Tamandua tetradactyla: one gene and its partner. Each later gene encodes a partner of the first gene's protein in a complex. Links are inferred from orthologs where the notes say so. Each region holds a gene or a part of one and is shown on either strand. Other genes may lie near its edges.

What was found. Proteins that work in one complex are often made in the same cells at the same time.
Region 2: TIMM50 (region 1) and TIMM17B share a complex: the UniProt entries of both Homo sapiens proteins name them as parts of the TIM23 complex. The link is inferred for Tamandua tetradactyla from reciprocal best matches to the Homo sapiens genes TIMM50 and TIMM17B.

Annotation. Positions count from the first base shown.
Region 1 is NC_135342.1:24,503,453-24,510,871, forward strand, and holds the start of TIMM50 (mitochondrial import inner membrane translocase subunit TIM50), read right to left. Parts: upstream 3,011-7,419; 5' UTR 2,980-3,010; coding exon 2,872-2,979; intron 2,779-2,871; exon of another isoform or gene 2,615-2,778; intron 2,479-2,614; exon of another isoform or gene 2,417-2,478; intron 1,959-2,416; coding exon 1,808-1,958; intron 1,285-1,807; coding exon 1,253-1,284; intron 1,039-1,252; coding exon 1,017-1,038; intron 15-1,016; coding exon 1-14. Other genes in the region: SUPT5H (transcription elongation factor SPT5), read right to left, coding at 4,658-4,801, 4,878-4,973. UniProt on the Homo sapiens protein: Essential component of the TIM23 complex, a complex that mediates the translocation of transit peptide-containing proteins across the mitochondrial inner membrane. Has some phosphatase activity in vitro; however such activity may not be relevant in vivo.
Region 2 is NC_135353.1:121,255,010-121,262,242, reverse strand, and holds the start of TIMM17B (mitochondrial import inner membrane translocase subunit Tim17-B), read right to left. Parts: upstream 3,048-7,233; 5' UTR 2,939-3,047; coding exon 2,913-2,938; intron 2,808-2,912; exon of another isoform or gene 2,693-2,807; intron 2,018-2,692; coding exon 1,918-2,017; intron 187-1,917; coding exon 123-186; intron 1-122. Other genes in the region: PQBP1 (polyglutamine-binding protein 1), read left to right, coding at 3,425-3,528, 3,661-3,743, 5,217-5,328, 5,526-5,638, 5,758-6,021, 6,233-6,296, 6,462-6,618; SLC35A2 (UDP-galactose translocator), read right to left, coding at 7,024-7,051. UniProt on the Homo sapiens protein: Essential component of the TIM23 complex, a complex that mediates the translocation of transit peptide-containing proteins across the mitochondrial inner membrane.

The DNA.
Region 1 (7,419 bases):
TACCAGGACTGGATCTAGGAGAACACCAGGGCGCAAAGGAATTCTGAGATGAGCCCTGTTTAATCTCCCGGACAAATGAGGGGTTTATTTATCTACCAGATACAAACCTGTCTATCTGCCTACCTGGTTTGAAACAGCCCGTTTCTAGGTCCAAAGGCAGATGGCAATACAATGACATGACTGCCAGGTAGAATTATATTTATTCACTTGCCCAATTTTAACCTGATTATTTACACCACATGCTATCCCAAGTATAAAACAGAATGCGTATTTGCTCACTTAAGACCAATATACATATACCTGTCCATTCTGAACCACCATGCTCCCAGATCTAGCAACTTTAAGCCAATATACCACAACTAGTTAAACCAGAATGAACATATACACAGATCTACATACTTTAAACCCATTCTCAACCAGAAGCAATTTTGTATATTTACCCCCTGCCCACTCTAAAAACAATCAATATATCAACATGTCAGTTTACAAACATCCCCAGCACACACAGGCAGCTTTCTGGACCTACCAATTTTATTCTTCTTCTAGGAAGGACCAGGTGTAATAGGAATTGACAACTACTCTCTACTATCCAGTTTCTCTGTCAGAAATTCCCACCAAAAACTGGTTAACCAGAAGGGGAAGGAGGAAGGAGGTACTATTTTGGAAATGAGGAGCCGAAGGGTAGGGGACTGCAAGAAAAAGAAGAGGCTATCCTAAAAGAGGAGCTGGCTAGGGACTGCAGATGCTCAGCTAAGGCACAGGAAACCATGTGTCTGGCTGCCCTGAACCCCCCACATCCCCTCCCCCTCTGTCCCTCACCATCTGCTCCTGGACTAAGGGGCCAGGTCAGGGGACAAGGGCTTTGTAATGCCCCTCCCCACAAACCATCCAGCTGCTGACTCCCCCACCCCTAATGAAAGGAGGAGGGGCTGGTGGGGGGCACCACATGGAGGGTTACATCACAGCAAACAACAGAGTTGGGAGGGTCAGGGGACCCCAGAGTCTTGTTTCCTCACCATTGTCAAATTCATCGGGAATCTGGAAGGTAGAAAGAAAAATGCGGAGGTTGGAATGGCGAAGACACAACATCACACCCAGGAAAGAAACCTCCAGGCCTCTGAGAGGAATAGGCAAAAGTCTCTGGGGAGAAAAGGCTTACCCCAAATAAGAAATGAACCTGACCAGACCAAAGAGGACCACCCTCACACCTAAGGGGCTCCAGGTAGGACATCTGTGACTCTTCCCCCCTCACCTTGGCACCAGTTTCATCCACGGAGTTGTTTCCTGCAAGGCAAACAGGGCGAATGAGAGGAATTGGGGCCTGGACTCCTAGGTCCTGAGGGAGGAGTGGGAAGGGGGCCTGGATTTCTGGGTTTTGAGAAGAGGACTGGGAGCTTGGACTCCTGGGTCTGAGGGAAGAGGACAAGAAGCATAATCTCCTGGGTTCATGAGAGGAGGGGGCTGGGAACCTGGATTCCTGGCTCTCTGAGGAAGAAGGAGCAAAGGGAAGGGCTAGTCCTGAGGGAAGAGGCTTAGTAGGCTGGTCAATATCTATCCTTCCCTATCTTCCCCTCTTCTGACTGGTACCCTACAACTTGCTGAAGAAACCAACTAGAAGTAGAAACTTGAGTACAGGAGTTAGAAAGAAGGAGACTTCTTCATTTCAAGGTAGGTATCCTAGTTGCCTGTCTTACTGAAGAAGGAGCCAATGAAAGACAGTGAAACTCTTGAGGGGTAAGGGGGGCAATTAGGAGGTGGAATGGGAAGCCAACAAGACAAAACTGGGGGACACAGGTGTGTCTCTCACCGAAAATATAGACCACGCTCACAGTCCCACCAGCTCCAAGAAGTCCAGCAAGCCAGAGAGCGACTTTCTTGGCATAGCTGGGACCCTCTGAGCCTTGCTGCTGCTGTGGCCCCTGAGCCTGGGTATTCCCACGACTGCCAATCTCCACGACCTGCAGTGAGAGGGAGCAGAAAGATGATGAGAGAAGAGGAATAAGGCCGGGGTGGTTGGGGCACCCATGTCCCTGAAAAGAATCAGGGTGGGGAGCCAGGAAGCAGACACATGCTTCATAGCCCCTGAGCAGCCTATTGCTTGAGAAGCAGTTGGGAGGGGCCAGGAGGATCAAGAACTAGGCTGTCAGGAGTCTGGATCCCAGGAGTTCAAGAGAGGGCAGGCCCGGTACACAGGGTCCTGGAGACGACAGCACTGGAGGATGTAGACCACCAAAATCCGGAGCACGGAAGAAAACACATCAGGGAGCTGGAAAAATGGGATGGAGGGCACACAGGGAATGTGACAGCAAGTATGACTTTGGGAAGCCTGGTGCTTGTGGTACCAGGACATAGAGGAGATGGGATGGGAGACAGGGAAGATATGGATAAAAGATTAGAAACAGGGCAATCCGCTTGCCTCGGGCTTAGAAGTAGTAGGGCACAGAAGTTACAGGCCTGGAGGTCAGAATGGCCGGCTCTCTGTCGATATAGAAGCAAGTCGAATCGGGAGCCCGAACTGCTATCGCCCCTCTCCAACACCAACGGGGAGAAAATAATCACCCCCAAAGCCGGCCTGAGACCCTAGCGTCACGGGTCCCTTCCCCTCAAGCGTTACCTGAACGCACTCAGAGATGGGGAACAGCCGACCCCCTCCTCCGGCGCTCACGTGGGTGGGAGGTGGGGGTCCTGACGACGCACTAGGGCCCCAACATCCCGACCGAGAGAACAAGCGCTGTCCTCCCCGGGAGGTAGGGAAGCGCTCCAGAATGCCAGCGGCAACGGCAGCATTCCAGAAGCCCCGGGCAGCGGCATTCCGTCCGGAGTCCCGGAGAAGGGCGCCCGCACGCGGGGCGCCACCCTCATCCCACTCACCTGGTCCGGGGCCCTGGGAGGCGGCGTCGCCAGCCTCGTGCACAGACCCCGCGCGCCTTGCCGGAGACAGCTCCACGAACGAGAGAACAGGGCCGTCGAGGCCGCCATCTTGCGCTGACGTCACGCGGTCCCACCCACTCACTCCCTTTCCACCCGCCCCGTGTCGGGATCGTGGCCAATGAGTGCGCAGGGGAGGGGCAGGTGGACGGGAGCCCGAGAGAGCCAAAGGGTTGCGGGCGAACTGCCGGAGGCGACTCACCTCTGGGCATTTTGGTGGCTGCACCCGGGCGCGCCAACTAAGATACAAGGTCACCCGGGCGCTGAGTCCCCCTCGGGCGGTAGGGCATTCCGCCGCCCCAGCAAAAGGACCTGGCGGGGACAGGGAACACACCTATTACTCACAGGTAAAGTTGATGCCGTAAGAAGCCATCGGCCAAGGTTATCCATATCCGAGTCTCGTTGTTCATCTCGCCATTTGTGATTTGCCTTCACCTCCCGATAGTCAGAAATAGAAAACTAAGGACTAGAAAGTGGGATAAGCAGCCAGTGTTTCAGACTCCTTCCCTCACATGGAACTGGGAGACAGGAATCTTATCCTCTATTGTTCGCAGGGCCCCTCTTGCCTTACTGCCGTGAGTTTCTTGTAACGTGTCTGAAATTTTCAGAGCCATCCATTTATTTCATCTGGGGCTCAGCCACAGGAGCAGTGATCTGTGTGGCTGGGTCAGGGTTATTGAGAGAAGTTGGAATCATCAGTGAAACAGGCTACAGTAGCCCCACACGAATCTTCCTCAAATTATTGAGTAAAAAAAAGGTTTGATACCAAACTTTATAAAGTTACCATAGAACATTTAAGGGTATAAAATAAAGTAGCAAATGTGTAAGTGAGACAAAAGAAAGATAGGTGGAACTCCAAACTGTGATCACCTCTGGAGGGGAGGAGAATGGATTGGGGTTACTGCTAAAGAGTCCTATCTGGCACATATTGTTTCTTAAACTGGGTGGTGGGACATGGGTGTTCACGTATCTTTATGAACATCTGAAATGTTCTGTAATACATTTTTTAAAAGACATGTGAACATCAAATAAGGAAACTGAAGGAGTTTCAGGGTACTAAACCCCATTTTCTATACTGCCTCTCTACTCCACCCCCAGTCATCAACAAGCTACAGCAATCTGGTGTTCCTGCTATCAGAGCTGAAGAGAGAAAGGATCATCATATGCTGTAGCCTGCAGCACTGGAGGAATAAGGAAGTTTCCTGGGGATACTGACTGCGATTTTTGCATATTGTGATAACCCATGCCTGAGTAAGATGTAATTTCATCAATCATGTGGCAGAATCTAACAATCCCTTTCTGGATGTTTTCTCATACATCCTTCTAACAGCCTTCTGGGGTAGACACTAACGTTTTCCAGATGGGGAAACTGAGGCTTAGGAAGGCCCCAAAATCATTTGTCTAAGACCACACAGCAAGGAAGTAAGAGTGGAGTTGCAAATGACCACACTTACAAACCAGACACACAAACACAGGACTTTTGACCAAACAGCTCTTTTTATTGAAAGACATAACACAAAAAGCAAGCTGACAGTGAGGGAGATAAAGGAAGGTGGGGACCCTCTGCCAGACTCTACTCTGATTCCCACTTAACACCAGAAAGGAAGGACATGAGAAAATAAAGGAAATCTAGAATGACCAGTCTAGCCCTGCTCCAGGCCTAGGGCCAGGAAAGGAGGGACACTCTTCACCTGCCAGGTATCTGCCAACAACCACGACTCTGCCTGCCTTAGGCCTCCAGGAGCTTCCCCAGGAAGCGGAGGTTGAGGATCTTCAGCTGCTCATCAAGGTCCATGCGGACAATACCATCCTCACCATCGATGCTCAGCAGGACACCTGTGGCTTCCCGATCTTCACCCAGGATCACCTTCACCTGGGGATGGGGGCATAGGGTCAGGGTCCCATATCTGCAGCCCTCCAGTTCCTCTTTCCCCACCCAATGCCCTTACCTTGTTGTTCTTGGTGGGTGTGATGGGCTCCAGGTGCTCACTAGAGATGCTAACGACCTTCTCACTGTCCTTCAGGTACACAGAGCACATGCCTCCCTGGGGGTGGGAACCACCTGGTCAGCCTGGAATGCTCCCAACACAGGGTCGTGCACAGGGCTGACACCCACACTCCAGGAGAGACAAGCTTCTCATGCTGAGAAGTCAAATCACTTTCCCAAGGTGACAAACAGCAGGAAAGGGCAAGGCTGGGCCTTATTCCAGGCCTGAGACCAGTGGTATATGGCAATGAGGTGGGGAGGGGTAACTGGATCAGGAAGGGAAGGACCATGGTAAAGCCAGTTAGAATCAAAGAAACTGCTTCCCAGGCACTTGACCTTTCATATCTCACACTGGCCTCAGCATTTCCCACCCCACCCCAACCGCTTCTCTTCCTGGGCTCAGTCTCAGGGACAACCCCACAGTCCCCAGTCAGAGGCTGGACCTCATCTTGGTCACTTCCCTAAAAAGTAACCAAAAAGTCTTAAGTTCTGAGGCCTATCCAGTCAGCTTCCTGAGGGTCCCTCCCCATCCCATGGCCTGCATGGTGCTCCTAGCCCCCATCCTTATTACTCCCAATCCATCCCAACACAACATAGAGGATTCATTCCAAACCACAGCTCTGATAATACCACTTCCCTAATTAAATTCCCCCAATAATTTCCCAGTGACCTCAGGACAGAGTCCAGGCTCCCTAAGCTGACATATGACCTGGCCCTAGCCACTGATCTGGCCTCTCTTACCATCTCCCTTGGCTCTTTATGTTCCAGCCACAGTGATCATACTAGAGCTCCCCAAATGTGCTTGGCTTCCCTTCACTTCCAGGCTTTGACACATGTGTATCTCTCTACCTGGAACATATTTAATCTCTTTCCCCAGCCTTACTTCCTGGCTTACTCACTCAGTATTTAGGCCTCAGGTCAGATGTCGCCTCCTTCAGGAAGCCTTCCTACATTCCCACCAAAGCAGGGTGACTTGCCTTCTCTGGGTTTCCAACAATTCTCCTTGTCCCTGGGCTTCCCCATCCCAGCTTTGACCACTCTGGGTTGTCATTATCTAGTGACATGTGTCTCCCTCACTGAACTGTTAAAATCAGTAAGGGCAGGGCCTGAGGCTGTGGGCTCTGCTATTAATTCAATTAATATTAACTGGAAACCCAATGAGGTGCCAGGCCTTTATCTAGGAACTGGGGGTATCTACTTAGGAATAAAATACAGGTTTACTAATCAAAGAACCACGCCAAGCATACACTTTGTCTACATGTGGCAGACAACATGAACTATGTGGCCTTATGAGAGCCTGTAAGAAGCAAACCTGACACAGCCTATGATGTACTTCCCTAACAGGTGAGTAGGAGTTAACTAGGCAAAGAATGGAAGAAAGAGGGGTCTACACAGAGAAGAGACTGTGCAAAGGCCCCAAGGCTGGAACAGGAAGAGCCTGGGGATGTAGATGCCCAACCCTGGTACAAAGGAGGCACGTGGTCGGTGTCACTGAATTGATCTCTCAAAGGAATATGTCAAAAAGTAACCATGGCTGTATGACTCCATTATTGTGATTCTGATAAAGCTGCCAGTGTTTTAGAGCAGCTAGAAGGGAAAATCTGAGTTGAGGGCATGGTAGCCCACGCAAACTCTGGGAACTGTTCTATTGCTGCTTGCTGAAGTGTGCTTTAAAAAGTATTGCTTTTTTCCTTTCCTTTCTTTGTGTGTGTATACATATATATGTTATATTTTACAACTAAAAAAGGTTAAAAAAAAAAAAAACACCTACAGGCCGTTATAGTAATATTAGGTAAAATAAATTCCTGAAGTCAAAAATTTAAAAATACTTAGTAACATAATGCACTACTATGGCAAAGTTGGTATTTGTAATAACTTTTTACTTGATATTTTGAGAATGCACACAGTTTTGTTAATCAAGTGGTAGTTAAGATGCTGTTTTATATTCAGAATTCAAGTAACTGATATCTGTATTTACAGATTTTTTTCCTTCCTTGCTTAATTTTAAATTGGTTTATGAAACATAGTGTATAAAGAGGCTTTATGATGATTACTTAAATATTTTTTTAATATGCCTATGGATAAGCTAACTTAGATATCCATTTTAGGTGGTTAAGATTTCCATATGTTAACTGTAAAAATATTTGTATCTTCCATATTTTCCTGAAATCTGGAAAATATTTATTAACAGATCATTACTATAGCAATACAGATATTTGTAAGAACTTTCTACTTGATATTTTGAGAACATTCACAGTTTTGACAGCTAATCAAATGGTATCTAAGTTAGTGTTTACTAAGAATTTAAGAACTGCTATCTGACTATGTAGATTTTTTTCCTGTTGCCTTAATTTTAAATTGCTTTATGAAACTTAACGTGCAAACAAAGGCTTTACAATGATTATACGGATACTTTATTTAAATATGCCTACAGTTAAGCTAACTAAGATACCCACTGTTGATTGTTCTAAGTGTACTGCTTGTTTCTTTTAATAATAATAAAA
Region 2 (7,233 bases), on another chromosome or scaffold:
CCTAGGCAGAGTTGGGGTTGGAATCTGGACCCACCCCACAACGTGCAGTCTAGACCTAAAGGAACACCCCCCCCCCCCCCGATATTACTATCACATCTTCTTTGTCTCCCCATGCCCCTTACCTCCAATCTGGGGAGCTCGGATCCTCACAGCGTTGGCACTACCTCTCAAGCGGTGCTGAATTCCCTGGGGGAAAATGAGGAGGGGTGTCAGGACAGTGATGAGGCCGCTGGCAGACAGGCTTTCTGGCTTTTAAGGGAGGCCAAGGAGATGGGAGACCTATTAGGGGTATGAGGGGCAGAGCTGTGAGAAGCAGTCAAGAACTAGGGTCTGGGGAACACTCAGAGCTGGTTTGAGAAGTTCTCATTCATTCATTCAATAAGTGATTGTTAAACACCTACTATATGCCAGGCTATATGCAGAGCTACAGCAGTGAATGAAGCAGACCCAGTCCCTAACCCCTTAGAACTCACATATTAGTTAGTATAAGAGACAGAACTTAAAGATACAAGGATACAGACAGATCAGATGGTTTCAGACAGCAATAAGCAGGAAACAGGATGAAGAGATAGAATAGTGCTGACTGGCAGGAAAGGCTTCTTTAAGGAAAGGGCATCTGTGCTGAGACCTGAAGGAGAGTCTAGGGCAACGAAACAGGAAAGAGAAGTTAAAGTCTCAGGTGACAGCAAGTGCCAGGGCCATGCAGCAGGCATGACACAGGGCGCTGGAGGAAAAATAAGGAGGCCAATAAGGGTGGGGCAGAGTGGGCAAGGAGAAGAGTGGTAGAAGATAGGAAGTAGGCAGTTAGACTGTGTAAGGCAGGGTAAGAAGTTTGGGTTTTATTTTAAGTGTAACAGAAAGCTATTGAATTATAAGGAGGAACAAGGATTGGATTTGCCTTTTTAAAGGCCCCCGTGGCTGATGTGTTGAGAAGAGTCTCCAAGGGGGTAGAGGAAGAAACAAGGAAATGAGTGAGGAGACTACAGCAATCAGGGGGACTCAGGCAAGGATAGTGGCAGTACAGGCAAGGATAGTGGCAGTACAAGTGGTGAGTTGTTGACTTGGGGATATATGTGCTTGGATGCTGAGTACACAGGTTTTGCTGATACATCAGATGCAAGATGGGGTGTGAAGGAAAAAGAAGAGCCAAGAATGGCTGAAGGTTATTGGACTAAAAGACTATAAGGAAGAGGGAATACTGAGATGAGGTAGACTGATGAGATTAGTTCTGGGAAAGAAGCAGGAGCTCTGATTTTGACCTCTTGAGTTTAGATGTAAAGTAGATATTTGGATATATGGATCTGGAGTTGACGGGAGAAACAAGGCTAGTTATAAAAATCACAGAGGGTGGGTGATGGTGGCACAGTGGCAGAGTTCTTGCCTGCCATTCCAGAGACCCAGGTTTGATTCCCGATGCCTGCCCATGCAAAAAGGAAAAAAGGAAAATCAGAGACCTGGGCAAACTGATGGCATTTAAAGTCATGACAATTGATGAGAGCTGCTTCTGAAAGGGCATGGGCAGAGAAAGAAAACAGGATTGTTATAAAAGGATTATTTTTTTACAACTTTAAAGCTGCCCTCTCTCTGACAAACTCCTATCACCTCCCTTTATGCAGATTTCAGACCTGAAATCTGCCTGTAGGAGATAAGATATGTCTGTCTGTGCAGGCACATTTAGGATTTGTTGATGACTGTTTTGACAGCATGGCATGTCCAGGAAGGAGTCCCAGTTGGAGAGGGGGCAGGGGCCATGTTTGCAATTCCCCCTAAGACCCCAGATCCGGGAGCAAGAATTGATGAGCACACAACAGAATGAATAAGTGCATGTGACTGGCAGCTCTAAGAGGTTTGCAGGATAGTATCACTTGTGAATAGGGCAGCCAACCCTCACACCACCCGGAGAAGGCCAGGACTCACCACGGGGGCATTGCGGAAGCCCTTGATGGCTTGGAAGACTCCGCCGCCTATGACACCCATGGTGAAGGCTCCGCCGCAATCATCCACAATCCGCCACGGGCTGCAAGCGGGAGGGGGGGGGAGGGGAAGGGATTAAGGTGAACCCTACACTGTGCGCTGTCACATGGACGAACTCTTTCCAAATCGGAGGAACCAAGGCACCCGGATGGGAACTTCATGAGCGGGAAGAAGTACTTCATATAATAGTGAGCTAGTTCTGTCACTTTTTCTCTCATTAAAGCGAGATATAAGGCAGAGGTGGGGGGGGGGTAGCAGTCTTTGCCCTGCTGACCCGTGCCCTTCGCAGCCAACTGGGGAATGGCTGTCAAAGATTAGATGAGCTGACACTAGCAAAGAGACAGCACTTTTACCTAACCACCACATAAGTTATTAAAGCAGAATGGGGTTGCAACCCCTTCTCCAACAATGGCTACAGCCAATCAAGTCCGGCCCTCCCTTTTAACCGAGCACCGGTGGGAAAAACCGAGAGCAGACGCTGGGGAGGATCCAGCATTCCCCTCTTTGCCCACAATATGATCACCCAGGCCCCACCCTCCATTAACAAAGCGACCTGGGAAAAACCACGCGTGGTAATCCTAGGGATCGCCGCTCAACATCGTAACCCCCCACCCCTTGCCGGAATGGATTCGACCAGCGTGTCTCTTTGTCGTTAACAAGGAAGGGCTGGGAGATACAAAGTCAGAGGTGAGGTGGAGTGGTTCGCCCAGTGCCGCACCTCCAGGAGCGCCGTTAGTGGGCCTCGTCTTAACCGAGCCTGGGTGGGAGGCACCCAGGTGGTGATGGTGGGTGGTGGGGCGAGCGAAAGGAAGTAAGTTTTGCAAGACGCTCCCGAATCTGGGACGCGGCGCCTTGCGGCTGGTGTCTTCCCCGCCCGCCCCCCACGGCCGGCCAGGGCGCCGCCACAACGATCCCGCGGCCTGTGCCCACCGCCGTACCAGGGCTCACGAGCGTACTCCTCCATGGCGCCGGCGTCCGGCCGGGCCACGCCCCCAGTGGCAACGCACACAGGAGTCCGAGCTCTTCACCTATTCTCGGACAAGGGTCGGGTCACTTCCCTCGACGTCAGGCCCAGGGAGCGCTCATTGGCTGCCAGGTTTGTGTCGTGGGTTCATCCCGCCTCCGAGCGTCGCCCAGTTACCTCGAGGTTCAGGGAGAAAGGCTTTCATTCTGTGCTTTGAGGGGAGAGCAGTGTGGTGTCGGTGATCCTGGCGACGAGGAGAGAGAGGCAGCCTGTCTGACAGCCTTCCACTAGCCCCGAGGCTGTATCGGCAACGCTGGGGTGGACGCATTCTTTTGGAGCCGGAGGAGGTGCTGCATTCTGCTCCCCCGTTCCAGCACTTTGGTTCCTCCCACCTGGCAAGCTTTGAGGGATATTGGGTGAGCCCATTTCTCCAGCGCGGGGAAACTGCGCCGGTTGCTTCGGTGGTGGGCAAAGCCTGCGAGAGGAATGCGGGGGTGGGGTGGAGGACCCGATGGCAATCCCGGCCACGAGAGGAGTGCTGGTGTCCGCTTGGCTGACCGTGGCCACCTATCTCCTCCATCTTTTGGCGCGTAGGTTCCGCCCGCCCAGTTTCTGGTGCCAGTCGGGAGGTAGGGATCAAGATGAGTCCATGCTGGAGGGAGGCGCTTGGTTACAGGATCCGGAATCATCGAGCTGGTTTTCAGTCTGTTGGTCGTCCCTAGGTCTGTGCTACTTGCCATGCCGCTACCCGTGGCGCTGCAGACCCGCCTGGCCAAGAGAGGCATTCTCAAACATCTGGAGCCGGGTAAGAGAGCTAAGCGCAAATGGGCTTTCTTTGTGCCGGGTTTGACAAGCACTTTGTTGTTGAGGCTTGACACTTAACACCAAGCTTGGGACTTCTGTGCGCTAAGCAGCTAGGAGCCAGGAGCTGGGGCATCTCATTAACATGGATTCCTGACATCCATTCCTATGTTTGCCGAGCACTGGGGCAGATAGATGTTGCAATCCTTAACAGTTCTGACAGCTGATAGCTCTCTAGTGCCTGCTATATGCCAGGTTCCATAGGGTGGTAAGTACTGTCTAATAACAAGGACGGCTGACATCTAGTGCAGGCTTCTGTATGCCAGGCACAGCAGGGCGTTGACCTTGATACTTTGTTGTTTACCAGACTGATAGATAGTATTTCAGGCCTGCTGTAGGGGAAGGCACTCTGCTGGTGATGTATATACTTTATTCACCTCATTGAGAACTGACATGTATTTTGGGCCTACTAAGTGCCTGCTGGCAAACACATTAGGGTTGAGAGTATAAAATAATGACAGTGAGGAGCTATTATTTAGGCCTTCTGTGCTGCTGCTAATATTTACACTTTATTGTTTATGCTAAAGGTTGGCATTTACTTTGGGCTACAGTATGTCAGGCACTGAAAAAATACATCTTATTGTTCACCTTTATTGATTTCAGCTGCCTGTTACAAGCTTGCAGCGTGCCAGGCAGACTTGATAGTTACTAATACAGATAATGGTCATGGATCTTACTTTTAAGCCTTTCTGAGTGCCAGCTCCTGTGCTGATGACATACATCTTATTAACAATTCTAATGATGGTAGCAGACATCTGTTTGAGGCCTACTGCACCACAGGCACTATATGCTATTGCTGACATACGTATGTTTCATTGTTATGTCCATAGTTTTATGTCCATAGCTGAAATCTGTTCTGAGCTGACCGAGAGCCAGGCACACAGCTGATAAAACATACCTTTTTTAAAAAATTCTATAAATATTAACTGACATCTCTTACAAGCCTACTATGTGCCAGTACATTTTCACCTTGCCACTTAGGAGCCAAGTGGATTTGGAGCAATATTTGGATAAATCCCTTTGCTATCCTGGCATACTTAATACACAGGACTCAAAAACCCCATATTAAGTTTGGCAGCTGAATGGACACATTTTTTCAGATAAATCCCTTGCTGTTTATATTTTATCTATATACATTTGGCTAACACATTGCTATGTCATTATCTGAACATGGGAATGGAATAGATTTGGGTTAAGTTTTGTTAGTTTGTTTTGGTAAATCCCCTGGTATTCAGGTATTTGGGTTTGGAATACACAAGATACTTTGTGTACATCCACACATGCATGTATCTACCAGGTGTGGTTCATGATTGGCCAGGGGTGTGAACAAGGGTCTGTGAGTCTTTGTAGGCCCTGACTGTATGATGAGAATTGCCCTGGTCCTTAACCACTGCCCTCCTCCCCCTTGTCCTGCCAGAGCCAGAGGAAGAAATCATTGCTGAGGACTATGATGATGATCCTGTAGACTATGAGGCCACCCGCTTGGAGGGCCTGCCACCAAGCTGGTACAAGGTGTTTGACCCTTCCTGGTGAGCCTGGGGACCTGGCAGGGAGGGGAAATGACCTCCAACTTCACCCTTCCTGGGCTATCCTGGGCATTGGGGTATATGGGAGATATGGGAGATTTGGGGGGTCCTCCCTATGGGGCAGGTCTAGGCAGAGATTGGGGAGACAGGAGTTGAGGATCTTTGCTGACACTCCTTCCCTCCCTCCCATTGCCCCACAGTGGGCTCCCTTACTACTGGAATGTGGACACAGACCTCGTGTCCTGGCTCTCCCCACATGACCCCAATTCCGTCGTGACCAAATCTGCCAAGAAGCTCAGGAGCAGTAATGCAGGTGAGTTGGCAGATCCAGGAGTGCCTCAAGTGATTTTAGCAATTGTCAAAGAAGGGTCAGGTCAGTGATAGTGGATCTAGTAGGAGCAGATGGAATAAGACAGACCCTGCTGTCCCCAGATGCTGAGGAGAAGTTGGACCGGAGCCATGACAAGTCGGACCGAGGCCATGACAAATCGGACCGGGGCCACGACAAGCCTGACCGGGGCCACGACAAGTCCGATAGAGACCGAGAACGTGGCTATGACAAAGTGGATAGAGAGAGAGAGCGGGACAGGGATCGGGATCGGGAACGCGGGTATGATAAGGCAGACCGAGAAGAGGGCAAAGAACGTCGCCACCATCGCCGTGAGGAGCTAGCTCCATACCCCAAAAGCAAAAAGGGTAAGCCAAGTAGGGCTGGGACTAGCGTGAGGCAAACAAAGCACCTGGGGTGCAGAATTTAAGGGGGCCCTCACTCATGCAAGTGCCTGAAGCTGAGGCCCTAGGGAAAAGGTGCTGCGGCCCCATGGTGTGCCATTTCTTCCTGGGTTGGGAGGGTTCAACGATCAGGGTTCCTTGTGCCTGGATTGGTCTCACTGTACCACTTCTGCAGTGGCAAGCCGAAAGGATGAAGAGTTAGACCCCATGGACCCCAGCTCGTACTCAGACGCACCCCGGTAAGTGACAGCCTCTCAAAGTCCTTCTTTTCCCTCGTGACTCACTGCCTGAGCAGATATCATCCCTTCCCCCGCTGCTCTCACCTTCCCCTTATTCGTTAATCAGGGCACAGGAGTTACCCATTGCATCCCACATTCCCACCCCTGACCCTGTATCACCCCCAGGGGCACATGGTCAACAGGGCTCCCCAAGCGGAACGAGGCCAAGACGGGTGCAGACACAACAGCAGCCGGGCCCCTCTTCCAGCAGCGCCCATACCCATCCCCAGGGGCTGTGCTCCGGGCCAACGCTGAGGCCTCCCGAACCAAGCAGCAAGACTGAAGCTTCACCCTCCCAGCCCCAGCCCTGGGATTTTTAATAAAAGCTTCTGTTGATCATGCCCGTGAGACCTGAGTGCTTCCTTCCCTCTCTCTCTTTCTCTCTCTCTCTCTCTGTTTTGAGGTTTCTCAACCCAAGCCAGCAAAATGGAGAACACATTTTATTTGCAAAAACTCACCTAAGAAAGAGCATGGGGGTGGCAGGGGCTGGAGGCTGAGGTGGGTCCTGTCCATGCCCTCAATATCAAAGAAAAGTTAGTCGTGTCAGCCCTACGTGGAAGCGAAGGGTGGTGAGGAAGGGGAGTTCGATGTCTATCTCACCCCACCCCCAATACTGATCAGTTTGGTCCCAGCTGGACCAGGGCAAGAAGGGAGAACGAGGCCAGGCCAACGTCTTCAATCCCAGCAGCTACGAACCCTTCACCTTGCTGAGCAACCTGTGGTGGGAACGGGAAGGAAAAAGAAACACAGAAAGCTGGGGTGGGCTGGCAGGTGGGTTTCCTGAGCAAGCGAGGGCAACAGAGGTGGTGCTGGCACCCCTGGGGTTAGTAATAGTGCCTATGCAGAGAGCGCGGGTCCCCCGGGTCAGGAAGCTGCACGTGGACTAAATAAATACAAC